Linked DNA regions of Lonchura striata. The protein of the gene in region 3 binds, or shares a complex with, the protein of the main gene of each other region. Links are inferred from orthologs where the notes say so. Each region holds a gene or a part of one and is shown on either strand. Other genes may lie near its edges.

Evidence for each region.
Region 1: VIRMA (region 3) and CBLL1 share a complex: the UniProt entries of both Homo sapiens proteins name them as parts of the WMM complex. The link is inferred for Lonchura striata from reciprocal best matches to the Homo sapiens genes VIRMA and CBLL1.
Region 2: VIRMA (region 3) and RBM15B share a complex: the UniProt entries of both Homo sapiens proteins name them as parts of the WMM complex. The link is inferred for Lonchura striata from reciprocal best matches to the Homo sapiens genes VIRMA and RBM15B.
Region 4: VIRMA (region 3) and METTL14 share a complex: the UniProt entries of both Homo sapiens proteins name them as parts of the WMM complex. The link is inferred for Lonchura striata from reciprocal best matches to the Homo sapiens genes VIRMA and METTL14.

Annotation. Positions count from the first base shown.
Region 1 is NC_134607.1:59,135,386-59,142,892, forward strand, and holds the start of CBLL1 (E3 ubiquitin-protein ligase Hakai), read right to left. Parts: upstream 3,015-7,507; 5' UTR 2,983-3,014; coding exon 2,970-2,982; intron 2,601-2,969; exon of another isoform or gene 2,493-2,600; intron 438-2,492; coding exon 270-437; intron 1-269. Other genes in the region: SLC26A4 (pendrin), read right to left, coding at 6,799-6,822, 7,318-7,401. UniProt on the Homo sapiens protein: E3 ubiquitin-protein ligase that mediates ubiquitination of several tyrosine-phosphorylated Src substrates, including CDH1, CTTN and DOK1. Targets CDH1 for endocytosis and degradation.
Region 2 is NC_134614.1:7,695,619-7,703,284, forward strand, and holds the start of RBM15B (putative RNA-binding protein 15B), read right to left. Parts: upstream 3,019-7,666; coding exon 274-3,018; 3' UTR 1-273. Other genes in the region: MANF (mesencephalic astrocyte-derived neurotrophic factor), read right to left, coding at 3,520-3,704, 4,653-4,794, 5,547-5,674. UniProt on the Homo sapiens protein: RNA-binding protein that acts as a key regulator of N6-methyladenosine (m6A) methylation of RNAs, thereby regulating different processes, such as alternative splicing of mRNAs and X chromosome inactivation mediated by Xist RNA.
Region 3 is NC_134603.1:24,171,596-24,178,455, reverse strand, and holds the start of VIRMA (protein virilizer homolog), read right to left. Parts: upstream 3,019-6,860; 5' UTR 2,967-3,018; coding exon 2,904-2,966; intron 711-2,903; coding exon 595-710; intron 356-594; coding exon 269-355; intron 1-268. UniProt on the Homo sapiens protein: Associated component of the WMM complex, a complex that mediates N6-methyladenosine (m6A) methylation of RNAs, a modification that plays a role in the efficiency of mRNA splicing and RNA processing.
Region 4 is NC_134606.1:70,409,231-70,416,590, forward strand, and holds the start of METTL14 (N(6)-adenosine-methyltransferase non-catalytic subunit METTL14), read right to left. Parts: upstream 3,015-7,360; 5' UTR 2,949-3,014; intron 1-2,948. Other genes in the region: PRSS12 (neurotrypsin), read left to right, coding at 4,796-4,934, 6,845-7,023. UniProt on the Homo sapiens protein: The METTL3-METTL14 heterodimer forms a N6-methyltransferase complex that methylates adenosine residues at the N(6) position of some mRNAs and regulates the circadian clock, differentiation of embryonic stem cells and cortical neurogenesis.

The DNA.
Region 1 (7,507 bases), on a different chromosome or scaffold from region 3:
AGCATGGGTCATTTTTATTGAAATCATCAAAAAATGCCACAGCACCTCCAATCTGCTGAGTCCATTCTACAGAAATGTAGAACCAAAGCAGTAAGACAGCCTGTTTTGGAAATGGGCACTACTGAAGCCCTACATGAAGTAGCACTTGGAGATTTGAAACTTGTTTTGCATTTAGACAGAACCCTGGACTCTTAAGTCTCTGAGTAAAGTCTCGAAAAATCCTGTAGAATAATACATTTCCCTACTACAGGGAATTTATATGAATTTACCTTCATCACCAGCTTGTGTCTTCGAAGGCATCCTGTTCATATTTCTTGGAGTTCGAGGTGCAGGTTTGGTTTTATTGGTCTGTTTTGAAATAAGCTTTATAGGGATTCTTCTACGGACATCAAGACCACCCAAAGATCCTGAACTATTTGTTCCTTGCAAATCATTGTCTGTGAAAGAAAATTGTAAAAAGTATACATTATAAAAATTTATTTAATAGTCTCTAAAGAGGTTAAATATTAACAGAAATGTTTTAAGAAAACATTTAATTTTTAAAGCTTGCTTAAGACTCCTACAACATATTAAAATTTTATCACTAGAAAATAGGTATCCCTCACAGACAATACAAGAAGCCACGTCACAAAACTGTATTTGGAACAGCAAGGAAGTTAGGAAATCTAGTTTAAAAATAAAGCTATTAAAATAATCTAGCTAGTCACACATTTCTCCACAACAGAAACATTAACCTTACAGCTCTTCTCACCGCGTGAAGAGCACTGGAGAGTCAATTCTTTGTAGAACCTTGACTACACAGAATTTCTTATGTGAAAAGATAATTTTTACAATTTATGTGTATTGTTTACTAAAGTAGGAAGGAAACTAGTTTCTCTATTAACTCATCATCTTGACATATTACTTAGAAATTTATAAAAAAGTATCACAAAAATACTGGTACTTAGGAATACATAGTTACATCCTTCCTAAACTGAAAATTACTGCTCCCAGCTATATACAAAATTCTCCTTAATCAGATTTACATCTAAGTACCAGGGTGAACAAAACAAGAAATAGCCTGACACATGCATAAGCAGGTACAGGCTCCAAGAGATAACATAGAGCAGGCAATGCAACAAGCAACACAAATGAGGAGGCATAACTCCCTCAAACTCCAGTGAGTTTATCTGAAACCACCCCACAGCATCTCATCCATGAAAAAATATGAAGTTACATCTTTCACAAATCTTCCCAGCTCACTGGAATTTTATCTGAAAATGCCACAGGTGTTTCAAAGCAGGGCACACTCAGTCTGGAAGGGGTGAGCCCCGAGCACTTACAGCCCTGCAGTTCCACAGGGTAGGGCACTCCAGCCCTGGAATGACTGCAGAGGCCCCAAGGATTGCAGTGCAGGACACTGAAATTAGGGTCCATTAGTGCAATTCTGCACAGTGCCTCACCAACTGCTGTCTCTCAAAGCCTATAACCACCACAACAAGTGGCATCATAACAATGCAACAAGTAGAAGGAAAAACAAGAAAAAATGGGATTGCTCTCAGTTTTTCAGCAGCTACCACCAAAGCCAGGAAATGTATCTGTTTCAAACTGGGACTGTGCCCTGGCAGTCCTGTACCTCCAAACCAAAAGCCCTCAGTTTCCTTAGATTGATCAAACTCCTCTTAGCACTATGGTTGACAGTTTCACTCTAAAAGGAAATACACTAAAGGCAAAAGCAATAAAGCTTTTTTTTACTTCATTTGCTATTTCTTTCAGCTGTCCAGATGAACCTGCAAACACTCAACTATATCATCAGGCTTCTGCAGGGAGTGCTTGACCAAGGCATCAGAGGTAAAGCTGCTTGTTTTCCATGTGTTGGGAAATTGTTTTCTACCAGAATACACAAAACCACAGCACCATAAACCACAAAGATCTCTGCTGCAACTCAGTCCATTTGCAAACAGGGACAACTAAAACGAATTTTAAAAATCAAACACTTGTTTATTAGTTAGTCCATTGAACTGCCAATACATAGTCGCTTTTCCTCCTTATAGCCTTTTGTACCAGGAATACTTACATGAGCTAGCTGCTTAACTATCCAAACTACCAAGTTTACTAGTCACTCATGCTTTACAGAAAGATAATAAATTCCAGTCTGCATGAGCATAGCTTGTGGGATTATGTCCAGAAAAAACTACAACAAACATACCAGACTTGTTAAGACTACTTAAAAAAGCTCTAATTAGAAGTGATGCAACCTAGTGAAATGTCACCTTCAACTTAGTTTTACTTTTGCATTTCAAGCTTTATTAAAATTCACAAATAAAACTCAAATACTTTATACAGATAGTCATAAAGCAATCTTTTGTAAGGGAAAGGAAAAAAATCCTCCAAAACCACCCTAGCACAAAGCGCACGTCCATTCATTTCTTCACTGCACTACGCCAGCGCATTAACTCGCGAAGGATCACAGCTGCGCCAGCGCGCTCACCGGCGAACGACATTTAACCCACCACACCGAATTTAGGCACGGGAGGAAGCTTCCTCTCGGGCCACGACCGCGGAACCAGGAGACACACTGTGGGCCGCACGCCGGGACCGCCGCGGGCAAAGGAGCGTCCGTGCCCCGCCTCCGGGAGTCGCGGGCCGCAGCCGGCGGGGCCCGGCCGCTCCGGCCCGCCCGGCGCCCGCCGCTCCCCCGGCCCGGGGGTCCCGCGGCCGCTCCGCCCGGCGGGGCAGCGCCGGGCAGCGCCGGGCCCAAGGCGGCAGCGGGGCCGCGGCGCCTGCCCGGGCAGGAGCAGGAGCAGGAGCAGGAGCAGGCCCCGCGGCGCGCCCGAGCCCCGCCGGCGCTCCGGGGCCGGGCCGGGCCCGGCGCCGCCGCCCCTGCGCCGCCCCGCGCCCCCCGGCCCCGCTGGGCCGCTCCCGGAGCGGCGGCGGGCGCGGGCCCGGCGGGGCGGGCACGGACGGGCCCCCGGCCTCCCCCTGCTCACCATTGTGGTCCATGATGCGGCGCGCGGCGCTGTGGGAGCGGAAGGGCGCGGCCGGAAGCGGCGGGGCCGCCTGCCCGAGCCCCGCCAGCGCTCCGGGCCGGCGGAGCCGCGGCGGCTTGGGGCTGGGAGGCGGCCCCCGGGGCTTTGGGGGAAGGACGGAGTGAAAACACGAGCGGTCTCTCGGTTCGGAGCCGTGCAGGCCCCGTCCAGCCGCCTCAGCGGCGCGGGCTCCACACACGCTGGGAAGATGCGGCGCCGCAGCGCGCTCTGGGCTGCTGGTGTCAGCATTAAGTTCAGCATGGAAATGGCAGATTGGTGAGCCTTAAATTATAGCATAGAAATGGCAGATTGGTCAGCCTTAGGTTCTAGCATGGAAATGGCAGATTGGTCAGCCTTAAATTATAGCATGGAAATGGCAGATTGGTCAGCCTTAGGTTCTAGCATGGAAATGGCAGATTGGTCAGCCTTAGGTTCTAGCATGGAAATGGCAGATTGGTCAGCCTTAAGTTCCAGCATGGAAATGGCAAATTGGTCAGCCTTAGGTTCTAGCATGGAAATGGCAGATTGGTCAGCCTCCAGTTTAGCATGGAGATGGCAGATTGCTGACACGCTGTACAAGTGATGGAGCACTGAATCTCCAGAGCACTCAGCAGCTTCACAACAACAGAGCTCACTAGCTCAGGAGTGGGCTTAATGTTACATTGAGCACTTTTTAATTCCTGTAAACTCGGTGCGATGCTGAAGAATAGCACTGGAGAAAGGAAAGAAATAAAAATACAACAAAGTCATAAGTTATAAGTAGAAAGTGGCCCCGAGCAGTCCTACCACAACGCTAAAGTACGGGTAACTCTACTCCATGCACTTCAGATTGGTAATTGTCTCAATAAAAGCCTCCCGGATTGGGATCTTGTGCTCCTACAGACAGTATCTCTCATTATCTTTATAGGCGTAACATTTAAAAGCTACCATTAAAGTCTCACATTTCTTGTCTTACCCCCACAAGGCAGAGGGAACAGGTTTTCCCTTTTGTGTTTGTTGATACTCAAAACAGAGACCAAGGTAAGCGGGACACTGATTCCTTCATAATATGCTTTATCTTCCCATAATAGGAATTCACAAAGAAAAGACTTAAAAAACCCGAAACTAAACAAGAAACCCCCAAGGACACAAGGAGCACGTTTTCAGTATGCACAACTTTATTTTCTAGTTTATGGGTATAATTTTCAAATGTAGCTTTTTAAAAGTGTAAAAAAAAAATACATCTCCAAATTTGATATCTGACATGCAAAGACAGAACAGTAATACTCAAAATGCATACAAAAATACCACTTCTTCATGCTGCTGGAAAAAGATAAGCACATCCAGTTACACTACTTAAAGATACATTAATTAGTACAAAACTGTAGAGAATTATAGCTTCATTGCAAAATCCATTATTTTGGTATCCTTAATTTTGAGGGATACAGAGAAAATTAAGCACATAACCAATGAGAAAGGCATTTGAATGCATTCTTCATACTACCTCTTACTCTTCTATGCCACTGTAGGCTTTGAGAGAAATGCTGTTTTTCAGAGAAAAGTTTAATATTTTGTGCCTGTTAAATTAAGACCAACCATGCCTGGAAGAAATACACAGGCCAAGAATAAGTGCATTTTATCATATTTTATCACAATTAATCCCAGATCAGATGTCATATTTGGAAAAGAACTGGAAGACTGTTGAGTATTTAATTGCTTTTTAAATACCTGTCCAGACAAGAACTAGAGAAATTTAAAAAAATAATGTCATGACATCTCTGTTAAGTAGGAATCTGTACTCAAACTTCACATTGCAGATGTTGCCTTGAAAAAAAAAAAAATCACTGCTACAATTTTTTACCATCTTTTCTGTAGACGTGCAACAATTAGCTGAAAGCTCACTTACCAGGTAGATTATTTTACTTTTTACTTAAAATGTGTATCTGTTCCAGAGAAGCAGTACAGCTTCTAAAAACATGTTACTGGCCTTGTGCACTGGCAAATGTTCCAGCAGTCAGGTTAATAGGAGTTGGGGCCACAGCCTGATGGGGTCTTCAGGCCAGAAGTGCCAACCTCCTGTGACAGGCTGGCAAGGAGACAGAAGGAGGACAGGTGGGGTTAAAAGCATGAATTGTCAAATCACAGGCTGGGCTGAAGCATTAGTGCCAATAGAAATTAATGGCTCCATCTGAACAGGTGCAGAGTGGTCTGATTTGCCTCTTGAACTCTTGCTCCATTCTCAGATGGTGGAGATGCCCATCCCACGGACAAAAGGCCCATGTCCATTGTGAATACAATCCTGCTGTTTGCTGGCTTGGACTGGAGCACCAACATCACCTAAGCTCAAGTGTCTGTACTGAGAAACTTCACTGTTGTGAAGGCTGAAGTCTGTGCTGTAACAAGAGAATAGGGATTCTAATTTGGTGCCATTGGCTGAAGTTTATAGGATTTTTTTTCACTGATGTTAACAGAGTTAACTTGGATAATTTATTTAGTGTTTAGCTTTTCCATTGCTACCTGCAGCAGAAATCTGTGCAGTATGTGAGAAAATTTCTCTCATGTAATCAAGTAAGAAGAATTAAATATACTGAAGGTAATTTTCACCATTGTTAAACTTAAAGGCATTTTATACCTGGACATTTCTTACACTTCAGTTTTTAACAATTTCCTCACAATGCAGAGGTTTTTCCCATTTTAAAAATAATGCAATGCTAAATAAATCAAGGTGGCAGTCCATTTTCCATCAAAATACATTTCTTCTTCATGAAAACTAAGAACATTAGTTTAGGATTAAAGTTTTGCTATTCAAATCTTTTGTAAATTATTGCACTTGTGCATTATGAACTTTCATATGTAAAAGAACAGCAGCAGTTTAATGTAGACTATTAAAAGAAAAAATCTCTATAAAAATATAACTATTCATTAAACAAAAAATACATCTATATTCCATTAAAAGAACCCCAAATATCAATACTAGGTCACATTCTGACTTTCTTGCTTACACTCAGTATCAGCCTGTTTCACAGATTTCATTAAGTACTCAGGGACTAAGGTTTTCCTTAATTTATGTCATGATCCGCCTCTTGATGAAGATTATGTAACCTAGCCAAAATAATCTTCTGTCTGTCCTTCATTTAAGGGACAATCATTAACAGTAGTGCAAGACTTGCTACAATGGGACTAATACAGAACAAATGAACCCATATCCAAGGGTCTTTAGAAACTTTTCCTATTTAAAGTATTACTGTAGTTCAGTGCTGTTTCCTGTTCATGTGACAGTTTCACCTGTCACCTCTTTCAGTGATCTAACTACCTGCAGCAATTTAAGGAATTGCTTGAAAAAAATGATCATGGTACATTTTTCAAGGCTTGTCAGCACATATTCTCACACTAATGTTCTAGAATTCAAAGCCTTGGCCAGCAAGAACTCCAGCCCTTTCACTAGACTTTGTAGAAATATTGAACAAAAAGCTTGCCATCCAAAGATTTTGGTCTCTTCCACTCTCCTGGGCAGACCACAGAGCAGCTTTTCAGTCCCAAAACTGAGTACATCTTTCACAATAGTCTTCTGATTTTCTTTTTTATTAATATATATCATAGCAGAAAGTGCTTGCAGAATCAAGGTCCAGAATATTTCTGGGATAATGCTAGCTAAAATTTGGAGAGTTGTAGAGATCTGTATCATTCAGACAAACAATCAGGGTTTTCTTCAAGTGCAAAGATTGGTTTAATAGCAGAAAATGCTGGTCTGGGTAGTACTGGTGTGTGGATATTGCCGTGTGCTCACAGGCAGGATGGTACCAGCAGTCCTTCAGGAAGCAAGTCGGCGCATGGCCTAGAAAAATGGGTTTTGAAAGGTGGAGAGAAACAGGCTGTGGTTAGTTCTCAGTATGCAGCATCTGGGAAAATTACATGTTTGTGTAAATTAAAAACTCAGTGAAAGTACAAAGAACATCTGTAAACTGTGCAGATTGTGCAAGAAGCTGTCTGTTGTCTTAAAAGGAAGAATGAAAGATTGATCATAATTTTCCACTCTAGTGCCTCAAGTCTTACAAAGTCTTCTTTTTAGGCCCCCAGCTTGTGTTTAAATATAAGCCAGTGTAAGGCAAAAGTAATCCTAAAGCAAGAGAGATGAGGAGATACTTAAGCAGATATCATCTACTACTATCTCAAAATATCTCAAGAAAAATCTGACTTCCTCCACTTAGCACTGACATGCAGTATCCAGAGAGGGTATGTATTTATGGAGAAGGTACCTGTTGAGGGCCATACTCTCACAGCAAGACTGAAGGCTACAGGCAGAGGGATAGACACATTCTAAAATGCATACCTCTTCCTGAACATCAAGTTCATCATCAGGCTGGCTGGCTTCTGTGAACTCTATGGGTTCTTTGGACTCCTGCATGAGTGAAATCTTGGTAGAAATAAATTAAGAAACATGATGAGTTACATGTTGTCCATATAATTGAAATTTATTTTTTTACTCTAAAGTACCTTAAAATAACTTCCACAACTTAGAA
Region 2 (7,666 bases), on a different chromosome or scaffold from region 3:
TCCATCAGTGAACAAGGCTTTACTGACAACTTTTCATACAGTTAAAAAATAAAAATACAGAACAACAGCGGACAGTGTCACATATTAAAAACGAATAAAATGGGCTCTATTTAAAATTTTAATAGATATTATAGGTATTAAAATTAATTAGAAACTAAAAATCTTACCACTTTGGTGAAGGTATTTTGAGCCTCAACCAAAATGATCAGCCTTAAAAACAACTGGGCTGTGTGACACACAAAGAAAACATGGAATTTGAAAAGACAGTGTGGGCTAGGCAGTGTCTTTGACTATAACTATCACCATATGTTCTTCTTCTAACTTCCCCAATGTCCTTAGTGCTGACTGGAGGTACTGCTGAGAGAACTCGCAAGGAGGGAACGCGTAAAGCATGCCTGTGCTGTCCCTGCCCTTTGCCCCTCCCACGGGCAGACTGATAACCCCAGCAGCCTGCTTCTGTTTCAAGTAGGAGACCAGATTCCTGAGAAGCCGTCGCTGCAAGCCAGGCTCTACCACAGGGAAGGTCCCCTCGGCCCCTGCCGGGGCGGACTGGGTGGCCAGGAGCACGGCGTAGCCGTTGGGGCTGCCTTGTTTGATGCGCCGGGTGACTTCATCCAGCTTGGGCTGGTCCAGCCGAAGCCTCTGAGCGATTTTGAGCTGCGTCAACTTCCCGCCGGACGAATGGTCTTTGAGGAGTCCGTTGATGACACCCACGTCTCCCTCCAGGATGTGCATAGAGGTGGGGAAGCAGCTGTTTTTTAGCACAAGAAGCCCATTCCAAGCAAGTTGCAGTGTCTGAGCGTATTCTGATAAATTCTTTAGCTTTTTGGTCTCAGATTTTGGCTCCTCGTGAGTTTTTGATTCCGATTCACCAGTTCGATGATTGCGTTCGCTGTCCCTTTTTTTGGGCTGGGGAGCATCGGCTGGCTCGCGATGGGGTTTCTCCTCGGCCGCGTGACGATTGTTCTGGAGGGAGTTGCTCTGCTCTTTCTCGGCTCCGGGTTCTGTAGTGTGATTCTCCTTGCGAGCCCTGTCAGGGCTGCGGTCTAGAGCTGGCCCACTGGCCTTTGTCCTGCTTCTGTCCTCGTAAGGCGAGTGAGTAGTCCTCCCGCGGTCACTGGAAAGACTCCGGCGTCTCCGCCTCTCTTCCCACGGTTTGGGCACGCTGCGGTCGCCGTCGCTGCCCCAGCGCTCCCCGCTCCGGCTGCGCACGGAGCGGCTGTAGCTCTCCAGGTTGTTCCTGCGTTCGGCGTTTTTGGCAGGGCTGGCCCAGTCTGCCTCCACAAAGCTCCTGTCTCTGTCCGAGTACAGGAGGTGCGGAGGAGTCCTATCCCGCACCCTCAAGTCTTGCTCCAGGCTCCGGTGCCGGCTGTAGCCGTCAGCCAGCAGCTCGTAGTGCACGGGGAGCGGCGCGGGCTGGTACTGCTGTGGGTATCTCGTCTCTTCTGCTTTGGCAAAATCCACTCGGAGCCTCCTCTCCGGTCCGCCCAAGGGAAAGCCCCTCATCTGCGCGCAGGCGGCCTGGGCAGCGTCCAGGCTCTCGTACTGGATGTAAGCGAAGCTGTCGCCCTTCACGTAGTCAATAGTCCTGATGCTGCCAAAGCGGTCGAACTCCCTGGCCAGGGCGGCCAGGGAAGTGCTAGGGCCGAGGCCCCCCACCCACAGCCGGGTGGTGGGGTTGGCTTTTCCGTAGCCAATTTTGATGGGGTTCCTGCCCACAACGCGGCCCGACATAGCCACCTTGGCCCGGTGAGCCATGTCTAAGTTCTGGAACTTGAGGAAGGCGTAGGCACCGCCCTGGCCACGTGCGGGGCGCTTGATCACCACCTCCTCGATGATGCCATACTTCTCGAAAGCGCGCCTCAGCTCCACCTCCGACACGTTGTGGTCCAGGTTGCCGATGAAGAGGTTGCGAGTGGCTCTCTGGTCATCCTCTGGCATCAGGTCTTCCTCGGCCACGATGGGGTAACTGTACGGGCGGCCGCGCTCGTCGTACAGCCCGTAGTAATCCAGGGCCCGCTCCCGCTCCCGGGAGAGCCCGATGGCGGCTGCTTCCAGCGCGAAGGCGGCAGCGGCGGCGTGGCGGGGCCGCGGCTCCCGCAGCAAGGGGCTGGTGACCGGCGACAGCGAGCGCTGCTTGTATTGGTAGGCGCTGTGCAGCGGCGGCAGATACCCCAGCGGCTCCGGGGAGGGCGCGGGGGGCGGCGTGCGGCTGCGCCGGCCCCCGCGCAGGTACACGGGCTCCACCTTGAGCGGCCGGTCGTAGAGGAGCAGCTGCCGGGCCCGGGCATGCCGGCGGGCGTCGCGGGCGTCCCCGGGGTGTCGGAAGTTCACGTAGGCGACGCGGCCGAGCTCGGGCGTGTGGGAGAGCTTGACACTGATGTCCCCGGCGCCCCCGCCCGCGAAGCGCTGGAAGAGGCGGAACAGCCCGTCCTCCAGCAGCTGGTCGGGCAAGGCCGCGCTCAGCCCGCTCACCAGCAGCGTCTTGTACTCGCAGGAGCCGGGCGGCTCCCCGGCCAGCCCGGCCGAGCCCCCGAGCGGCGCCAGCAGCAGCGAGGGCGCGGCGCCCGGCGGCGGCCCGGCCAGCAGCAGCGACGGGGCTACCACGGCGCCCGGCAGCGCCTTGGCCTTGGGCACGCCGAGCGCCCGGGAGGAGGAGGAGGAGGAGGACGAGGGGGCGGCCTGGCTGCCGCCGCGGGCGCCCGAGGCCGAGCCGCTCCCCGCCGGGCGGTGGTTCGAGTCGCCGCCGCCGCCGGCGCGCTCATCGCCGCGGTGGCTGCGGGAGCTGGAGCCGCCTCCGCTGCCGCCGCCGCTGCCGGTGGTGGTGCCGCCGCCGCCTCCGCCGCCGCCGCCGGGCGTGGACTTGTCCCGGCTGCTGCGGGAGGCGCCCGAGCTGCGGTGCGGGCCGCGCCGGCTGCTGCTCTCGCGGTCGCGATCGCGGGGCCGCTTGGCGGCGGCGGCCGCGCGTCCGCCCGCGGCCCCCGGCGGGCTCGAGTCGCGGTCGCTGCCGCGCTTCATCGCGCCGGGCCCGCGGCTCAGGAGGCGCCTCCGGCGGCCGCCGCCATCTTGGACAAAAGGGAACGAAGGCGGCTCCGGCCGCCGCGCCGCGCGGGCCCTACGTCATCGCCCCGCGCGCGCCGCGCCACAAGCCGGCGTCACGGGGCCCTGACGTCACGCGGCGCTTCCCGCCGCCCGCGCGCGACGGCCGGGCGGCCAATCAGGGCGGGCGGCGAAGCCCCGCCCCCCGGCGGGCTGAGGGGGCGCGCGGGGCCGGCCCGCGGATAAAGCGAGGAGGGGGCGGGAGCGCCGGGGCCCGGCGGGTGCGGGGTGCGGGGAGGGGCGTCCGCAATCACGGCACAGGCACGGCTCCGCCCGGTACACTCCGGCCAACTTTAATGCAAGTCCCGTACAAAGCGCGGGGCCGGCGTCGCCCCTCAGAGCCTCAAGGTCGCCCCTCAGAGTCCCCTCACAGGCCCGGTGTCACCCCGCAGAGCCCCAGGATCGGCCCGGTCTCGGCCCTCAGAGGTCTGTCCGGGCGCCGGCCGCCCTCGGCGCGTACTTGGGCATCAGTTCGTGGATCCTGCGGATGAAGTCGTACTTCTCGACACAGCCCTTGCACACCTCGCCCCAGTCATCCAGGATCCGCCGCAGCTCCTTGACGCGCAGCTTGCGCAGGTCGGCGGTGCTCAGGTCGATCTGCTTGTCTGCGGGGAGAGCAGAGTGGCACTCAGACATGCCAGCTGGGCGAGGAAGCCAAAACCCAACCGGGAGAGAGGTGCCAGGGGTGGAAGGAACGTCTAAGGTTTGGGCAGCAGATATGGCTCGTAATGCTAAAAATTATTAGAAGACAGAAAGCTCAGTTGCAGTTTAGATGCAGGAGTTCCAGAATAGCCCGGAAAGCCCCTTTATTACACGAGCAGCAACACTTCTTTACCACTGGATAAAAGAAATGTAGCAGAGTGATTTCAAGGGAAAGGTAAGAAAGTGACAACAACAAAAAGCTTTTTAGGAAGCAACACGACCTTAGTAGGAGAAATGAAAAGTACAAAGACCCACAATCTAAGGGGCGTCTCCAGGGGGTGTAAGGGCAGCTATAAGGGAAAGCAGAACGAGGCATTTCTATGCCTGTTTTTTGTATTAGTCTTTTCAGGAAGAGGAGTCATCTACGAACATGAGAGTTCAAGGAAGGTGATGAGAAACAGAGAGTGGAATGCTCTGAGGAGACACCAGAGGAGGTGAGAAAGCATTATTTATCACCCTGCTGATGGGAACAGGAGAGCAGCTGGGACTGCAGAGCTCAGGCAAGGGCCTGAGCCCTGCCACAGTGACACCCCTGCCTGCTGCCAGCACAGGCTGTACCACACACCCTCCCAAACAGCAGTGTGAGCAGTGTTTAGTGCTGTTCCACCTGGGAGTTAGTTATTCCAGGGCTGATCAGAGTCCCTGCAGAAGCCAAGAAGGGTTAGCAGTCAACAGTCTTACCTAAGCATCTCCATAGAACTCTCTAGGATGTTCATGGAGAGCAACACAGGTTGTGCAACCTAACTAGGCTACAGAACTCAGGACTGAGTATGTTTTAGGATGTTGCTTCACCCCCAGTCATCCACACCCCAGCAAATCATGGGCAAGCATCATGAGTGCAGGCAACTCACCGTATTTTAGTTCACAGATCTGACTGTCTTTCTTCTTTAGCTTCTCACAGATCTTTTCCACAGGGATGTGGTGACTCATGGGCTTTGATACCTCGTTAATGATTTTGGTGGCTGCATCACTTGTGGCGCCAATGTAATAGCACTAGAGGAAAGAAAAGAGTGAAGTGGGGATGTATGGAAAAAAGGCTTCTAAAAGCAGTCTTCTGTTCCTGTCCTCATCTGGTTTTTGTAGCTCGATGTTTGCTGTTAGAGAACCTCCCCAGGGGACTGCTAGAGCTGGGCAAAAGGAGCCTGAGCCCAGAATACTGAGCAGGTGTTTTCCATTGCAATGATATTACAGCTGCTGAGGCTGATCTTGTTTCTTAACTTTATAAAAATTGAACAGGATTAGGATAAAAGTTTTTATTCAAAGAGCCTCTCTGAAGCATTCCCCCTCTGCATGTCAGATGGTATCTCTTGTAGATCTCTGAGGAGAGTGCAGGCCTTTTCCTTGGGCCTCTTCATTCACAAATTGCCTCTGGTTTTAGTTAGGGCAATTTGGTTTTCCTTTATTTAGTTTTCAGCTAAGCAGCCAAAGAATATAAATATTTTAACACATTACATAGCACCCCAAATACCATTTAAGGGACACAGAAACCCTACAGCAAACAAAAGCTTTGTAATATCCAGTGCTTCAGCAACAATGAGATGCCAGCCAGTCCAACCACTGTTGACAGGGTGGTTTTTTCCCTTTTTTTTAAGATAGAGATTGAACTCCTCAAGTCCTTTAATAAAAAATACAGGACCTACGGTGGCCACAGAGCCAGCAAAAACAGCCCCTGGGAAGCCACATGATACAAACTCAGTTTTCCCTCACTTGCAGGAGGGAAATATTACTGACTTCCCCCTACTTACCAGGCGATTCTCTTTGCCCTTTGCTTCTTTGCAGGATTTCAAGAGCTCCTTTTCAATACTGGAAGGTGTGAATTCAACGTCATTGTCCTTTAGACTCTGGTAAAACCTTCCCAGGAATGTGACACACACTGGAAGGGAAGATGGATGGAGTTATCAGCCAGAGCAGTAATCTCATGGCACCTCTTAGAGGACATTTATAAGGAAATGGAATCGGGGGTTTGGATAACAGAACTTTTCTGAACTTCACCCATGGTTCAAAACGTCATTCAGAGCACATGTGAATCAACAACATGCCCTGGTACTTTTGGTGGGTTTATGACAATCTGAGAAATGAGATCCATGGAAGTGTCTAGGGGCCTCTGTACATTGTCCTGAGTGAGCACTGGGTCATATGGACACAAAACCACGCCCATCCAAAAATGTACATTTAAATTGTCTTGTTGCTTTGGGAAGCAACTTGTAAGAACATGGGTGTCAAACCCAGTGCTGACAGAAAACCAGCTCTGTACATAATCCTCTGAGACTCCCCGTGTGCTAACTTCAGTAACAGGGTATCACTGATTACCAGGCTGCTTCAGTTGAAATTACTTCCAAGAGAAAAAGAAATGTGATCCCATGCTATGTCCCCATGGCACCTTTCTCCTTTCATTTCCACAAGCTTCTGATGCAGTTTCAGATGGAAAGATGGAAGACTCTTAGATATAACACAACTCCCACAAGTGCAGCTGCAGCTGAGAGGACAGATCCAAGTTCATGCCCGTGGGAAGGGCTGCACAAATCGGTCATTGCTCCTTCCCTTGGCAGCAGTCGCTCCATACGTGCTCCAAAGTGCAGCAGCACCGTGTGTGGCTGGGAAGGAGGGCAGACAGCCTGTGGGATGACTGAGGGACACCCCAAGTGTCAGATTTTGGTCATTCTGCTGCTCACAATTCATCCGTGGATATCAGCATCACCTGGACAGAGCACTCTACTCCCCCTAATTCCTGCTCAGGACCTGTGCATTCTCACACCTTCCCATGCAAGATGAGTGCCAGGAACCATTCTGCCTCTAAGGAGCAGGTATGAGTTATGGCTTTTATGGAATTTGTTTACTCCAGCAGGAAGGGACTGGCAAATATTATTGTCATTAGCAACTTGTGTTCAACTCAGAACACAATGCATGGCACAGTAATTGGGTATGACAGGAAACTGAGTATGGCCATCACAGAACTGAACAGAAATGTACTCTCATGATATTAAAACTAGAACTAATTATAAGATGGGCCACCTTGGAAAACATTTTTTGTATGCATGCAGCACCCTTTTTTACCTCCCACCAGTCTATCCCCAGTCACAGACACATTGATGTTCACTGTAAGCACTTCCCAAGGAAGTGAAAACCTTGGGAAGAAAAAACTTGCTGCAGGCAGTGACACTGATGGCCACTGTAGGACAGAAACGTTTCCAGTCTAGTGCTGCGACAGCAGCTGCATGTTTTGATTTATAGGGTTCCCATCCCTCTTTCTCTCTTACTGTAGAGGAGGGATATTAGTGTCCCAAACTCCCAACCAGCTACTAGAGCCCCACCTCAAGTTCTTCTTGCTTCACTTGGGGAATCTGTTCAGTTCACTGCACAGGAGCAGCTTAATTTGCTGTGCAGCTCAACAGGTTCCACCCCCGAGGCGTTTGTATTTCCATGGTACACAAAGGGCCCGACTTGATTCGGATCAGCTGCTCACGGCTTCTGGCTGTGCACACCGAGAGGACTCCGAGCACTCCGCAGTACTGTGATGACTAAGGGGGAGTCCCGGGTGAGTAACCTCACTGGCGTTCTCCTGCTCCCTGCCCGGTCACCGTCACCAGGCAGGGACAGCCGGCGGGAGCGCTGCCCCGCCAGTGCCGAGCCGCGACAGTGCTGATCGCTGGAGACGGTCCGGTCTCCCGGAGTCGTCGCTCCTCTTTCCCGTGGGGACTCTACACTACCGCTGGCCCGTGGAGAGGGACCGGCAACTTCCCGACAGAGTGCAGTACCCTCGGAAGGGAGATCCCGTCCCTGGCGCGGGGCACGGCTGGAAGCCCCGCCCCGCCGTCCCCGCGGGCATCCCGGCGCATCGCCCCGGCACCGGACACCCCCGAGCACC
Region 3 (6,860 bases):
TCACTTATTTCTACAGAATTCTTGGCATTAATATATATGGACTCTGTAAATTTAAAAATAACAGAATTTTTTCTTACTTTAAGCATAAACCTCTGTCCTTCCACACAGATGAGATGAAAAGAACAAGAACACAAACTAGCAAAATCCAAACCAAACGTGAAAGTCATGGGAGATAGAGGATTTTCTATTGCACATTCTCTGCACTCTAAAAATTTTCAGGAATTAAAGGTAGATAAGGAAGTCACACACTAATCTTGAAAGAACTTACCTTCCCAGCCGATCAAACACAGGGGCACTTGGTTTGCTGACATTGTTGAAAAACAAGTCCAGTTGAAATGAATGAGGGGATGTCTCTCTAGGAACAGAATGAAAGTAAAATCAGATGAGTTCCTTATCAGAGTAAGCAGGACTACCAAGGAGATAAAAACCACAAAATTATCCTATTTAAGGAATGCCCCAAAATAATTACAAGTCTGGCAAACACCCAAATACATTTTACATTTTTATGTAGGAAGGTCTATTGAGAGATGAAAGCTCAAGAAAAAAGTAAGAGGAAGGTTTTCTTGAATCTGATACCTGGAATCTTTCACTTACCCATAAGCCCTGTTGTCAGGCAAACTTGTGTGAGCTCTCACTCCAGGAGGAATGACTCGGACTTCATTTATGTAAACCACGCATGGAAAACGAACCACATCGATATTGGTACTTTGCTACAAAACAAAGAGGAAGCAAATTCTAGGAAACGTAAAACACAAACAACATCATGGTCTTGCATTCTCTACTAACAGAACATATTGCAGTCTTAATAATAAAACATCAAGTATAAAGAATTCTTACACCCTCCAAAAAGCTGTTTGAGCAAACTAGGAAGTTATCAAACTTACAGTGACTTTTCATATAGCAGCTACTAAAAAATTAATGCTGGACATCTTCTCTCACTAAATTCACTGCATTAGATCATATTATATTTATCCATCATTTTTATCATATTTATACGCATAAAATGGTACACATATAAAATTTATGTTTAATTGTAAACATATAAATACTTTCTTAAGAGAAGTTCAGAATCACATTTCCAATTAGCAAGCTGAATTACCAGACTAATAGGAAAAAAACCCCAAGCCACCGACCTGTCTATTAACACAACTAAAAAATTAAAATTAAAAAACAAATTGATTTGCAGTCGAAATGTATCTTTTTCACTACAATCAGAAAGCAAATTAAACCAGCAGAAAGCAAGTACTAAAATTTTTAGAAAGCTAGTAAGCAATGAAACAGACAAACTGGAGTTTTAAAACCGCTTTTAAGATATGGTTTTCAGCATGTGTTACTGTCTTGTAAAAAATCGATGCAGACATTTTTTTGCAGACAATACAACACAGCTTGGCCTGTGGGCTGATGTGGTAGAAGCTGGATGGTGGAAGCAAAGGAATCCCACTAGGACAGGAAGCACAGACACACGAACAGCAACAGGGCGAGTGCAGCCTACATGGAGTGAGGGTTGTAGGAGCTCATCTGTGTCTCTAAAAAACATCTGAGTCATGCAGGAAGCTCAAATTTCTGGAGAAAGGGCTGCTCTGGGGAGCTTCATCCCTAGGAACACCACCCACATAAAGACAAATTCCTCTTTAAATGATACTGGATTATGGCCTGACAGCCATGCACCAACATCACCAAAGCAAGTGAATTCTACCCACTTCTCCTACAAAACATTAAAAAAGACCCTCCATCAGAACTACTCAATAACTACTCTAAACTGTATAGCTAAGCCAAATAAATTACTTTATTCAAAAACACAGCAGTACTTTTCAAGAGCTGTAAGCTCTAGTAAAACATTCATAATCCACAAAGCCAAAGAATTAGCCTAACATAAAGAAGACTTTCAATATACACATAAAAAACCTAAGGTTCAGGTTTGGACAATGCCACTGATAAGAATGAAAGTGAGAGAAAATTATTTTTAAAGATTAAAATGTTCAACAAAAGAACATAGGGCCCTGGAGAGGCCTAAGAGTGGCTACTGTTTCTATCCAGGGGAACAGCACTGGGTAGCACTCCCCACCTAACATTGTTTTAAACAGTGGAATTAAAAAACAATTGGGGCCTAGCTGATCCAGACAGCTACAACACTCCAGAATAACTTTTCAACTGCATTTCATTGCAGCATGAGCTCTTTCCTTAATGCCTATTCACGAATGCAGTCCAGTTATTCTATGAATTTGAACGTCTTTCTCATGTTACTTTTCCCCTAACAGTCCCATTCCTCCTCCCTGAATTCTTCATCGAGCACAGCCCCAGACAAATCTGCTGCAAGATCAGCAGTTTCAAAGATGCTCAGGATCCCAACAGCCTCAAAGTGGAATATTTGCACGATCTACCACTGCCAAAAAAGCTTGAAACGCTCATTTAGTGTAAAGTAAATAAATCTAAGGGAATACCTCACAAACACACAAATATCCCTCCTCATCATCAGCTACACAAGAGCATCAGAAATCTCACAAGCGGCAGGGCATAGCCCTCCAGTCAACTTCTTCCATTATATCGACTTCTCGAAGCACGTTTATCTTCTTTGTTCTCCGCTCGCCTACATTCCTCGCCACCTCTAAATCCCCGCTGCTTTCCCACCACCCTCCGCCCCCTGCCAGCAGCACTCAGGCTGCCAGGACAGCGGCTCGAGCAAGGCTTCGGGTCAGGCGAGCGGGAAGGAGGCGGCAGCTCCCCCTCGAAGGGGCCTGCCCCAGGACTGCTGCTGCCCGACCGCAGCCGGGCCCGCCCCTGCGGGGCTTCCGCACTCCCGGCAGGCCCCGGCGCGAGCAAGGGGGGCGCCAGCAGTAGCCCAGGAGAAGGGAGAGGAGGGGAAGGGAGGTGAGAGGCGAGGCGGAACCCGAACGCCCTTTTACCTCCGCGCTCTGGTGCTTGAACGTGTCCAGGAACAGCAGCTCGGTGGCGGCATCCGCCGCCATCTTGGCCGGGCCGCGGGGGACGCGCTTCCGGCGCGCGCGCCAGCGCTTCCGGGCCGCGCGGGGCGGGGCGGGGCTGGGGCGGGGCTGAGGGCGGGGCTGAGGGCGGGGCTGAGGGCGGGGCTGAGGGCGGGGCTGAGGGCGGGGCTGAGGGCGGGGCGGGGCTGGGGCGGGGCTGAGGGCGGGGCTGGGCTGGGGCGGGGCTGAGGGCGGGGCTGAGGGCGGGGCTGAGGGCGGGGCTGAGGGCGGGGCTGAGGGCGGGGCTGAGGGCGGGGCTGAGGGCGGGGCTGAGGGCGGGGCTGAGGGCGGGGCTGAGGGCGGGGCTGAGGGCGGGGCTGAGGGCGGGGCTGGGCTGACTGCCGGTCCCGCCGCCCTCAGTGCCGCGTCCCTGCGGCGCTCATCGAGTCAGACTCAGGTCGAGAAAAAATCTCTGAGGTCGTCGAGTCCAACCTGCTGAAACTCGTGCCGCAGCCGGGGCTGTGAGCGGCGGGGCGCTGCCCCCTCTCCACAGAGCCCAGTCCCCGCAGCCCGCGCCGAGCCTCGGCCTCCGCTCGGGTTCACAAGCGCGGTGCTGGTTAATTTCAGCCCCGCCTGAGAAGTTTCCTCTGCAGCTTCTCCCGTGCTTAAAGCAATCGCTTTTCAGGTGAAGAACTTGTCGCTTCTCTCAAGTCCGTGTAGCAGAATTCCTTTCAACATTTCCGCAGCGCCAAAGTACCTGTTTAGCATCTATTGCTCTTCTGCAACGGCAATCAAGCACTGGGGACGCCACGAAGCCAAAGCCGGTCCCTGGCCAGGAGAATGATGTGGAATTAATCTTACGCAAGCGGTGTTGGTTACACACGTTTCTGTACGAGCTCCGTGCCTGACAGCAAAGCTGCACCATGTGCCTTTGGAGGAAGCGGTAAAATGACGTGTTACATCTCTAGATGGAAACTTCAGCCAAATACCTTAAGCACTGTCCTTAAGGGTGATAATTATTCCTTGTTATCTGCCTCTTGTGTCTGAAACGGCTGCTTGTGAAATACACTGGTTTATGGGTGTATAGGGACTTCACAAGCCCCTTTTTTGTTCCAGTAGCTGAGCTTGCTGCTCTCTTATCATTCCAAACTTTTACTTAAACCAGGAGCAGCAGTCCTCTAGGTTGTACTGCACATGAAAATGTTACATCACTTTAAACAAGGCTGTGGTTTAATACATCCATTTGCGGTGGTGAAACTAGTTCAGGAAGTTCCTGTCTCCACAGCACGTGTTAGGGAGCCAGCCACAGCATGCAGTTCCCCAATGGGTTCTACTGACACACCTGAAGAGGTGTTTTATGGCAGTGCAGGGATACTCATCAACTAGAATTTCTTCTCAGTTCACTGAAAACCTGATTCTGCCTCATGCTGTTTGAACAGATGTAGTTAAAGTATAAATCCCTTTAAAGAAATATTTCACAATCTTAAAACCAAGGAGCATCCTTGGCCATGCTGGTAGATTTGCCTACTGTGATTCTTGCCCCAACATGGATTCCCTGTCTCATCCTGCTGAATTACCAGATCTAGACTCCTGAAGTAAAATACAGTATCTTTACATAGAAAAGAAGAAAAACCCCTTTATATGTATTTTACTGAAGTAGCATATTGTAAATGTAGGTGAACCCAGTGGGAAGAAATAACATCTGACTCTAGTTCAGAAGACTGAATGATTTTTTTTTATTATGAGTATACTATAATATATTAATATACTATTTAAAGGAGATACTAAAACTACATACTTACTTTTTCTACTTACCATATCTAACTAACTCACAACTTGTGACCGCCTCTTGAGAGTCCAGACACAAGTGGATTTGACTGGCCATCAGGTTCAAACAATTCTCACAGAATCCAATCAAGCAATCACCCCAGGTAAACAATTCTCCAAACACATTTCACATAGGAAAAACAAGGACTAGAAATAGAAATTGTTTTCTCTTTCTTTCCCTCTGTGCACCTCTACGAAAAATTCTGAGAGAGAGAAATGTGCTTACCACAGTAGCACAATGCCTTTTGACACTCGGCACAGCTTGTTTTGATTAGGTTTAGGGGCTCTTTGGAGACTTCTGTGAGGCAGTAGCTTTGCAACTGCTCCACACATGGGCATCACCGTGTGTGCCATTGTGCCAGAGGAGCGCAGTCCCTGTCAGATGACTTCTCTGCTGGGATAGCCTGCAACAGTACTGCAACCAGGTCAGCCACTGAGAATTGTTTGGTAACTGGCAGGGGAATTCCAGCCCTGCGTTTTTATCTGCAGTGACTCTCGCTGCTGGGAACAGCTGCAGCTCTGGATTTGAACAGAATCAGCTTTGAAGGATTCAATTTAGGTGGCTCTCAATGCAGTGTCACTGACTTCAGCACATGGCTGGGCTTACAGGTCAGGCATTTCCTTGCTGCAAGAACAGCAGTGCTTGAACGTCACACACAGTTGCACAATATCAAGAAGCAATTTGTGTATTTTGGGGGGTATTTTCTCCACTGATGAAAGTGGAGACAACAGAATTTGGTTAGGAACAGCATTTATCTTAGAGACGTTAAAAAAAAAAAAGGTGGTAAACATGAACACATTCAAAAAGGAATGATAGAGCTGATTCTCCAATTTCAGTTGTAAGAAGTTGATATTCTGGAAGGAAACTGAGGAAAAGTGATACAGGTGGGGTACTTTTCAGAGACCAAATGTGTGTGCAGGAAAGGCCAACAGTTGCAGGTGGTATTGAGGTGAAGACCCTTCTGTAGAGCAATAGAGCAGGGCAGGCAATTCAGAACTGGCAGAAGAAATCTGGACATATTGAGAAGTGCAAAGTCACAGGTTGTTTGTTTTTTAGGAAGGGATCAATGGGTGAAAGAAGAAAACTTCAGAAAAATGGAGGAAATAAATAAGAGGATACATGAGTCTTGCAGTGTTGGGGGCGGGGGGTGTGACCTCCTTGGCAAGAAGAAGGGTGTGAGTTGTTTCACAACTGTCCTGTTACAGTAAGTGGAACAAAAGGACACGTGGTGGGAAATCACCACAACTAATACAAAAAGGACAGAAAAACGGTTACAAAGGAAACAAAAGGATTGCCAGAGAGGAGATGAGAACAGTAACAGTGTGCTGGCCCTGAGAGGTCACCTTACTTCAAAGCACCCCAGTTCCTTCCTGTAGATAACAATGCCCATGTCATCTGGAAGGTGACATTTCATGCAAAGACTATGCTTAGCCAGTCCCAGGACAATGGAGTGGCCTGGGACAAGCAACTGGAATGGGAGCCTGGGCAACACAACACAGGAACCTGACCAACTGGTGCATGTTGTTAGACCAGATGCTGCAAGCATGCAAGAAAGAAGGTGGAATGGGAACTGTGACTGGATAACAGGTGTTTTAGGGAATGTATTAGCCAAGAAAGAGAAAAATAAAAGGTAATAGCTCTACAGTGGCAATTAGTGACTAGCAGCTTCATAAACAAATGAATAAATGAAACAAGGGTTAGCCAGTAATCCAAAAGACATAATGGGAATTAAAAATACTTTCAGGGTACAGTTTCACTTTTGGAAGGGAGCCTTACATAATGCAGCCTGCTGTAGTAATAATCTAGGGACTCTCATGCTCCTAGATGGACAGAAACATAGGATGAGACAATAAGGCAGAAGAGAGACAAAAAAAAAAGTGTGTAAGTCAGAACACAACAAATCACTAGTAAAGGAACATGTGCCCATCCAAAAATCAGAAAAAAAGTGTGTAAGTCAGAATACAACAAATCACTAGTAAAGGAACACGTGCCCATCCAGAAATCATTCTCAGAAAGACAGGAGCTGCATCTCAAAAGCCAAGCTGGCACTGAGAATGAAACTGCCTAAGAAAGATGATTAAGTTTCACTGAAAGATGAGCAGCCAACCAAG
Region 4 (7,360 bases), on a different chromosome or scaffold from region 3:
GAGAAGAATCAAGCCTCAGGCTCATAATCTAAAAACTAGATTATTCTCCCTACCTGTTTTACTATAGTACAAGCACTTGATGGAATGACTTTTGGGACTTTGGTTTTTTTTAATAGCTTGTGATTAGAACTGAAACATGAATGTCCATATTTTCCTTCTAAGAAGCAGCTCCTCTGGAACCATTCTTACCAGAGCTGCACAGGGTGAGACCCCTCATCTTCTCCTGCTCTGCTCACATAAGACAACTGCAGTCCTTCAGAGCCTGTTACATTGCTCAGTTTCAGTTTTGTTTGTCAGAGCCTTAAACCATTGATTGCTGACATGATGGATCTCAGCACTGCAGAGGAGCCAACACAGCACATTACACACTCAGTGTATACAATATTTATGAAAATTCTAATGTAAGGATCCTTGAGTATGCAATACTGTTAGTGAACCTCAAGATAGTTCTTAAAAAGTGGTTCTACTGAAGGCACCCTTTTTCAAGGTTAAGATGCCTGGAGAAAATAATTGTAATTTTAGACTAAGAGCAGTGCTCAGGAAAGTGATAGACAACAGTGTTCATTGATCACAGTGAGCACCATGCATAATTTTGCTGAAGTTGACAGGTTTCATTTATTTGATTTTAGTCAGGCCTGATCCTGGAAGTTTCCATTCATTTGAACCAATGTTAAGTTTTACCTGTGCTACATGCAGCTTTTTACAAGTACCTCATACAAATCAGTGAACTAGTTTTATTCTGAAACTGGGATAGACCATTTTATATGTATTATGGATCATCCCCATGTATTCTAAATACTACGAGTAACAGTGTGATCCCATGGGATACAGAGCATGGGAAATCCTCACACTTGATGTCAATTTGGACTGACCTAATTTACTCCAAGACAACAGACATGAATTGTCAGTGCAGGGCCTTTCTGTAGCACTATCCCACATTGTAACACCTTGAACATTAGGGCAGAAATACAAATATTTGTTGTTTTAACATATTTCTGAAATTGAAGTGACTTCTTTTGCTTTGCTTTAAAATTGCCATTTCAGAGCACACTGCACCAGGGTGAAAGGCACAGGCAAACTTTACTTCTGATTTCTACTTTCCCAGCCTACATTTACAGCAAAATTGCAAACTGTTGGACAGGTGCTTACCAAGAAACTGTGGCATGCCTTTATCCAACACCATAAACACTACTGCTGCAGCACTAACATGTACAGCAGAAGTGGAAGTGATTCCCATCCTATCTGCAATTCAGCCACACAGTAATGATGCTCATTCCCAGTGAAATGCAAAAAATTAAAGAGGGTTTGAAGTTACGCAGCAACTCTGTACATGAGAATGCATAGGAAAAGAGGCCAAGCACAACAGTGCAATTCCTTTGAAGCTCTTCTGCTTTTTTGAGTTAATTAAAAGTTGGCTGGGTGGTTTTCCTCCCCCTGTTTTCCTGAGTGTCTCATCTTCAGCCTATATGGCAGGTGTTCTGGAGCAAGTCTCAGCAGCACCCACTGGATACCCTTACTTCCTTGCATTTGCAAGTATAACTTAATCTCCTTTCAACAGTGATAGCAGATAGGAAAGACTGACTTGGGCAGATACCAGGACAACTAAAATTACCAGACATTATGTAAACAACAGGAACTGACCATCAGTAACCTCAGCTAAAACAAAATTACATAAATGTATATATACTTTCTGAGTATTTAGACTAATTTTTACAAGTGAAGGAGTTTCTGTCAAGCCAGCAGATTGTATTTTTTAATAAAGGGCTGAATTAAGCCTGTTCTAAGACCACAGTATGTGTCTAGAGCTGTCTCATAGGCCTGCCCTGTGTCCTGTGCCCTAGTTTCTAACTACTGTGGGGTCACATCACCTCTCCTCATCCTCCCTCTTCCTAACCAGTGCTGAGGAGGGCAGAGCCACGGGCAGGATCCTGGTGCTGCTCTTCCCTTTTGTTGAGGGAGAGTAGGTTTGATAAGCACTTTAAGCAGAGGTCTGAGACCATATTGAACTGGTGGAGAGTAGAAAGAGTAGATACTACTGCATTAGCTCTACTCCCAACAGGTTTAGTTTTCTTCAGCAACTAAAAGTGCTGAAAAATTATAGTTTTAAAATTTGAGATGCTACTGTATCTCTGACTCCAGGAACCTAGAGCCTCCAGTGCATACACTTAAGCTGGACATGTTTGGTAAGAAGGAATGCAGGCCCTCCTCGGCAGAGTTGTTGTGCTCCAGGGGCAGCACAGAGGAAGCCCCTGAGACACGTGTTTGGGTGCTTGAGGCCTTACATTGGAACAGCAGTAGACTTAACCAGTGAAAATAAGAATTAACCTGTATCCTTTCAATCATGTTAAATACTATGTTTCTTGCTTCCTATGAAGTGAAAAAGTGTTTCCTGGTAATTTTACAATGTAAACACTATCTTGCAATTAAAATATTAATATATAAACAGATACTTGGTTATACAGCATAAACACACATGATGGCAGATCCTGCTGTTATCCTGCAATTCCCTAGGATCAATTTACACAGGAAACACAGAGCTGTGTTTCATCATGAAGAAAGAGTTTTTATATACCAGAAAGAAAAACTAAGCCACTGTAATGAAAGTCTTGATGTTGAGGTTGTGTTTTATGAGGTATCACTACTGTAACATGAACTGGTAATATAACTACCAGGTGTCTGAATACCGCAACATTTTGAGTAAACAACAGAGAAATAATTTTCTCATTAGTACCCTTTGATATGTTTGCTATATAACTTAAGTCATATGACAGAGGTTGATACATACTTCAAAGTGCACATACATTATATTTGGTTACCTCCACTAAATGGCAGGCTTGATATTAGCTACATGTAAAAATGGTCTTTCTTTCTATTTCTTTCTAGATTCTTTCTAGATTAACTTAACTAGGTGAAAAATCAAGACTATTTAAAATTGGTTACAAAATTACCTTTAGCAATCCTCTTGTGTGTTTTGCTGTGTGTACACGACTAAGTTCTTCCACCACTGTCATTGGGAAATCTGTAAATACAGAAAGAGGAGTGAGCCATATTATGCCATGGAGACTTTAGAAGAAAAATTGTATTCTTCAAGTACTCCCTTATTCAAATATGTGAATAGAAACATTGTGTAATGTGTACTCAGGAAGCACTGTATTGATTTCAGTAGGTGTCATGCAGCACTGTAAGTAATCATGCACTAAAATAAACTTATTTTTGGAGATGACATCTTCAAACTTGCTTTCTGATATGTCAGGAATCACTTTGCTATGAGTGCAGTTGATGTTTCAAGTGAAAATAATAGTCTATACAAAAGTCTGGTGAAGAACAGAAATAAACAGAATTCCAAACTCTGTCTGTGACCCATACAGAAAAACACAAAGAGAAAAATTTTAAAGACAGACAAATGATGTGCAACATGTCTACACTATAGTTATATTTGACACAGTAATAATCCTCTCTCAGGAATGATAGCTCACTCTGTAACATGAGTCAAATAAATGTTGTTTGTAATTTAGTGCACAGTAAGTTACTGCTGAGAAAGTAAATAGGAGGCAAAAAGGATCATGCCAAGCTAAACATGAGGTTAATTAATTCCTTGAGTTATTTGGCAGTTTCTTGGTTTTGTGGTTTTATAAAATACACTGAACTAAACCCAGGACAGAAGCTGAGAAGAAAAAGTGGATCTACCTATTATTATTATCATTATTATTGTTATTGTTATTATTATTTACACAAAGATGAACACAGACACAATGAAATGTAGGCACAAGCACTGACTATCTTCATCCCATTGCAAAACCCCTGCAAACTGGATGATGGTGTAGCTTCTAAGTAGATCACAGAACAGAGGCAGATGGATTAACTGGGATTTCAGGCAATACGAATTCATACAGCTGGGCTATGTTTGATAATTTAACAGAAATGTTTCTTGTTGAGTTACTGCTCTGTCATGGTTTTTCCTGTTTCTGTGTAGTTATCCCTATGACCAGCTTTTCCCCACCTTTACCAGTGCCACTTCAACAGAAGATGCATCAGACATCTCAAGTAAACTACTGGAATACAAAACTGCAAGATCTGCTAATTTTCTTAGATTTCTGTGCTCTGTAGCTCTTAAGAAACACTTTTTTCTTCCCCACTTATTTTAGACCATTTGTTATGCTTTTGAGCTTGCTTTGTCTGAGAGTTTGGTAAAGACCTCTCATGAATTAATAAAACTACATGCAGTGGTTTTTTGTCTGAGAAAAGTATGAACCAATGCATTCTTTGGCTAAAATAAACTGCTGTCATCTGTGACATGCATAATGTAACATAGGCCAGAGCAAAAGCTATGCAGTTCATGTGGTTATTTTCTGATTCCCTTAAGGTCAATGGAATTCTGTGAAAGATAAAAGTATAGCATATTTTATACAAATATACACATGCATACATATATATATATATACAGACATATATATATTTTGCTCATTTGGGTAGAGGAAATAACATTTCAATAATTATGTGTCTATAAATGCCTTGTAAGATCTTTAAGTTGTAGCATCAGAAGGATCAAAAATATGATGCAGTTGCAGTATGAGGAGAATAATGCTTTCCTCATGTTAAAAAAGGGTTCTCTTAATTTGTGCATCACTGTATGAGAATGTTAGGTGTGCCAGAATGTTTCTTGGGAAAAGCTCAGTATCCATGAAACAAGAACTAAGGGAAAATGAGGTTCAGAGTCTTTTGTGTGGGATGCATGAACTGAGCAATAGAGTATCTTGGAGGTGTAATTGTTTTATTTTTAATTTTTGGTAACTAGGGTCAGTGAGACTCCGGGGAGGCAAGAATGAGTTTGAAGGTACAGTGGAGGTTTATTTGAATGGAATCTGGGGAACAATCTGTGGGAACCATTGGGACAATAATGACGCGACAGTTGTATGTCGACAGCTTGCACTTGGGTAAGTTTCAGTTTGAGTAAAAACCAGTCAAATAATTTTCATGATTTTTCAGTATAAAGGACAATCTACTTTGTAAATCCTGAGAGCTTTTTGTGTTTGATGATTGCTTTTTCTGTTTGATGATTGCTTTTTCTGTTTGAAAGTGTTTGAATGCTGAAGTTGTTCTGCTCAGAATACTTTGCTGGCTTCATCTGCATTACCCTTCAAAGAGGAAACGAGTATTTCCTCAGAAAGCTGAAGATAGGCTCTGGATAGGAGCAGACTATGCAAATGCTTTGTTTTCAAAGTGAAATGTGTGAACAGGGCAGCAAGCTTCGACAAACTCCTCTACTGGACAAATGGAAGATGTCCACATGTACAGAATTACATGGTCCAGTCCTGATCTCACACATCTGAGATTAACCAAGTCAATTAACACCTCCAGTGAGGTTACTGAATCTATAACAATGTAAATGTGGCCAGGATTAGACTCTACATGGGCTCCTAATTCTCAGGGGCAAGGGGTTATCCTAGTAATCACCCATAGTAGTATGCCAAATAACACCTGGAACTCATCCTACGTTTTTGGCATATGACAACACTTTAGAGCTACAGCCATACTGGACAGGTTGAAAATCCCTGTACTGTCCTTGCTGACCACTACTTCCCACTGCTGCCAGAATGGAGTTAATCGACAGCACCCTTTAGCATAATTTGGCTGCCTTTATTGCCTTTCTAATATTTCTTTCACTCACATACCAAAGCATTGGTTTTGCTTGCTACAAGCAGTAAGAGGCTTTTATAGCAGACTTGCACCATGACATTCCTAATGATTAATCCACTTTTTAAGACTGCTAGCCAGAACTAAATCTAAGCTGGTTTATAATGTTCAATACTAATCTGGACGCACCATGCCAACTTATAAAAATATAAGGATTAGATGCAATAAAAGTTCAGCCATCTGGAGGCTGTGATTTTGTTTATGATTTCAGCTGTCTACGTGCAGTAGTTCCTTCTCTGTTTCATGTAAGTCCTATCTGCTTTCCATACCCTGAACATTTCAGCTGAACGAGACCGCTGTTAGCAAATATAGTTCAGCAATACAGGTGAATGGTTTTGTCTTTTCAGTAGAAATAGCTCAAAGCTGAACCCAGGCCAAAAAAATCCCCAAGCAAACAGTGGCTAAAAGTTTGAACTATCTTGAATGTTTTGCAGAAATTTGGATCTCTGTACCACCAGGTGAACTTATGAGGTATTACTAGTGCTTTTCAGGTGCTCCATCTATCTGTTCCTTTGATATCACCCTACTTGGGCTTTGTTTTAACTTCAGTGCTTTGCAAGGAATAGAAGGTGGCTCTATAAGTGTTGCTGTAGATTCAGCATGAGAAGGAAAAGAGAGCTGTTTATAAAATGTTCTGGGTGGATGGGAATGGCTGAATAGAGAAAAATGGATGGGGGCCTGATCTAATGGTGTGTGAGGTGGTTGCACAACCCCATCATCACAGTCACAATACAAGGCATTTATGGGCTGAGCATGCTATGTCTTCATGGAGTAAAGGACAGAATAAGGGAGAAAGATCTGGTGGCATTACCCCTCCTGGAACTGTAACTGCAGTGGGCTGGTACTGTAGATTCACCTATGGACTGTGGACTCTGTGTTGATTTTTGTAGTTAAGAACTGGGAGAGCAGGAATGTAGCTGGCTCTGCAGCAACAGTCATTGTACTAAAATATCCCACAACAAAACAGTGAGAACTGGGTCACATCTGTTAGTTTTCTTTGTGCAGAAGACAATGCTGAACTGTATGAAAATGTGATGAATTTACACCACTGAAGAAAGCCCTTTCTCTCCTCCTCTGAGATTTATATATGAGAAAATGTTTCCACTTCCCTTCCTCCCACTCTGATACCCTACCCTGATTATTTTTACAGGGAAAAAGGTACAGCAAAACACATACCCTTTTCTGCATTAGGCCTTATTCCTGTTTTCTGGAGTGAAGTGCGTTGTCGTGGTGATGAAGAAAATATACTGTTATGTGAAAAAGACACCTGGCAAGATGGGACATGTCCTCAAAAAATGGCAGCTGCTGTCACATGTAGCTCCACCCTGGGTAAAAAAATACATATGTTTTTCTCAAGCCCTTGCTTTATTTAAGTAGAAGTTGTAATAATTACAATAATTAAAATAGAAAAAGTGTTAAGATTTCTTGGAACAGATTATACAGATTGAATAATTGCATCATTAGCTGCTGCCTCGAGGAGGGCTGGGCTGGCAGTGCTGGGAAGATGGCAATGCCAATCTCTTCAGCTGAAACCACAACGTGTAGCTGCAGCCAGTTCTGTGCTGCCTTTCTTATCCTACTTATGGTTTTATCCAAAGAAGGTGGGTGCATTTTTGTCCTATAGCTTTATTAATAATGAGCACTATTTTCATAAATGGCTTTTAAA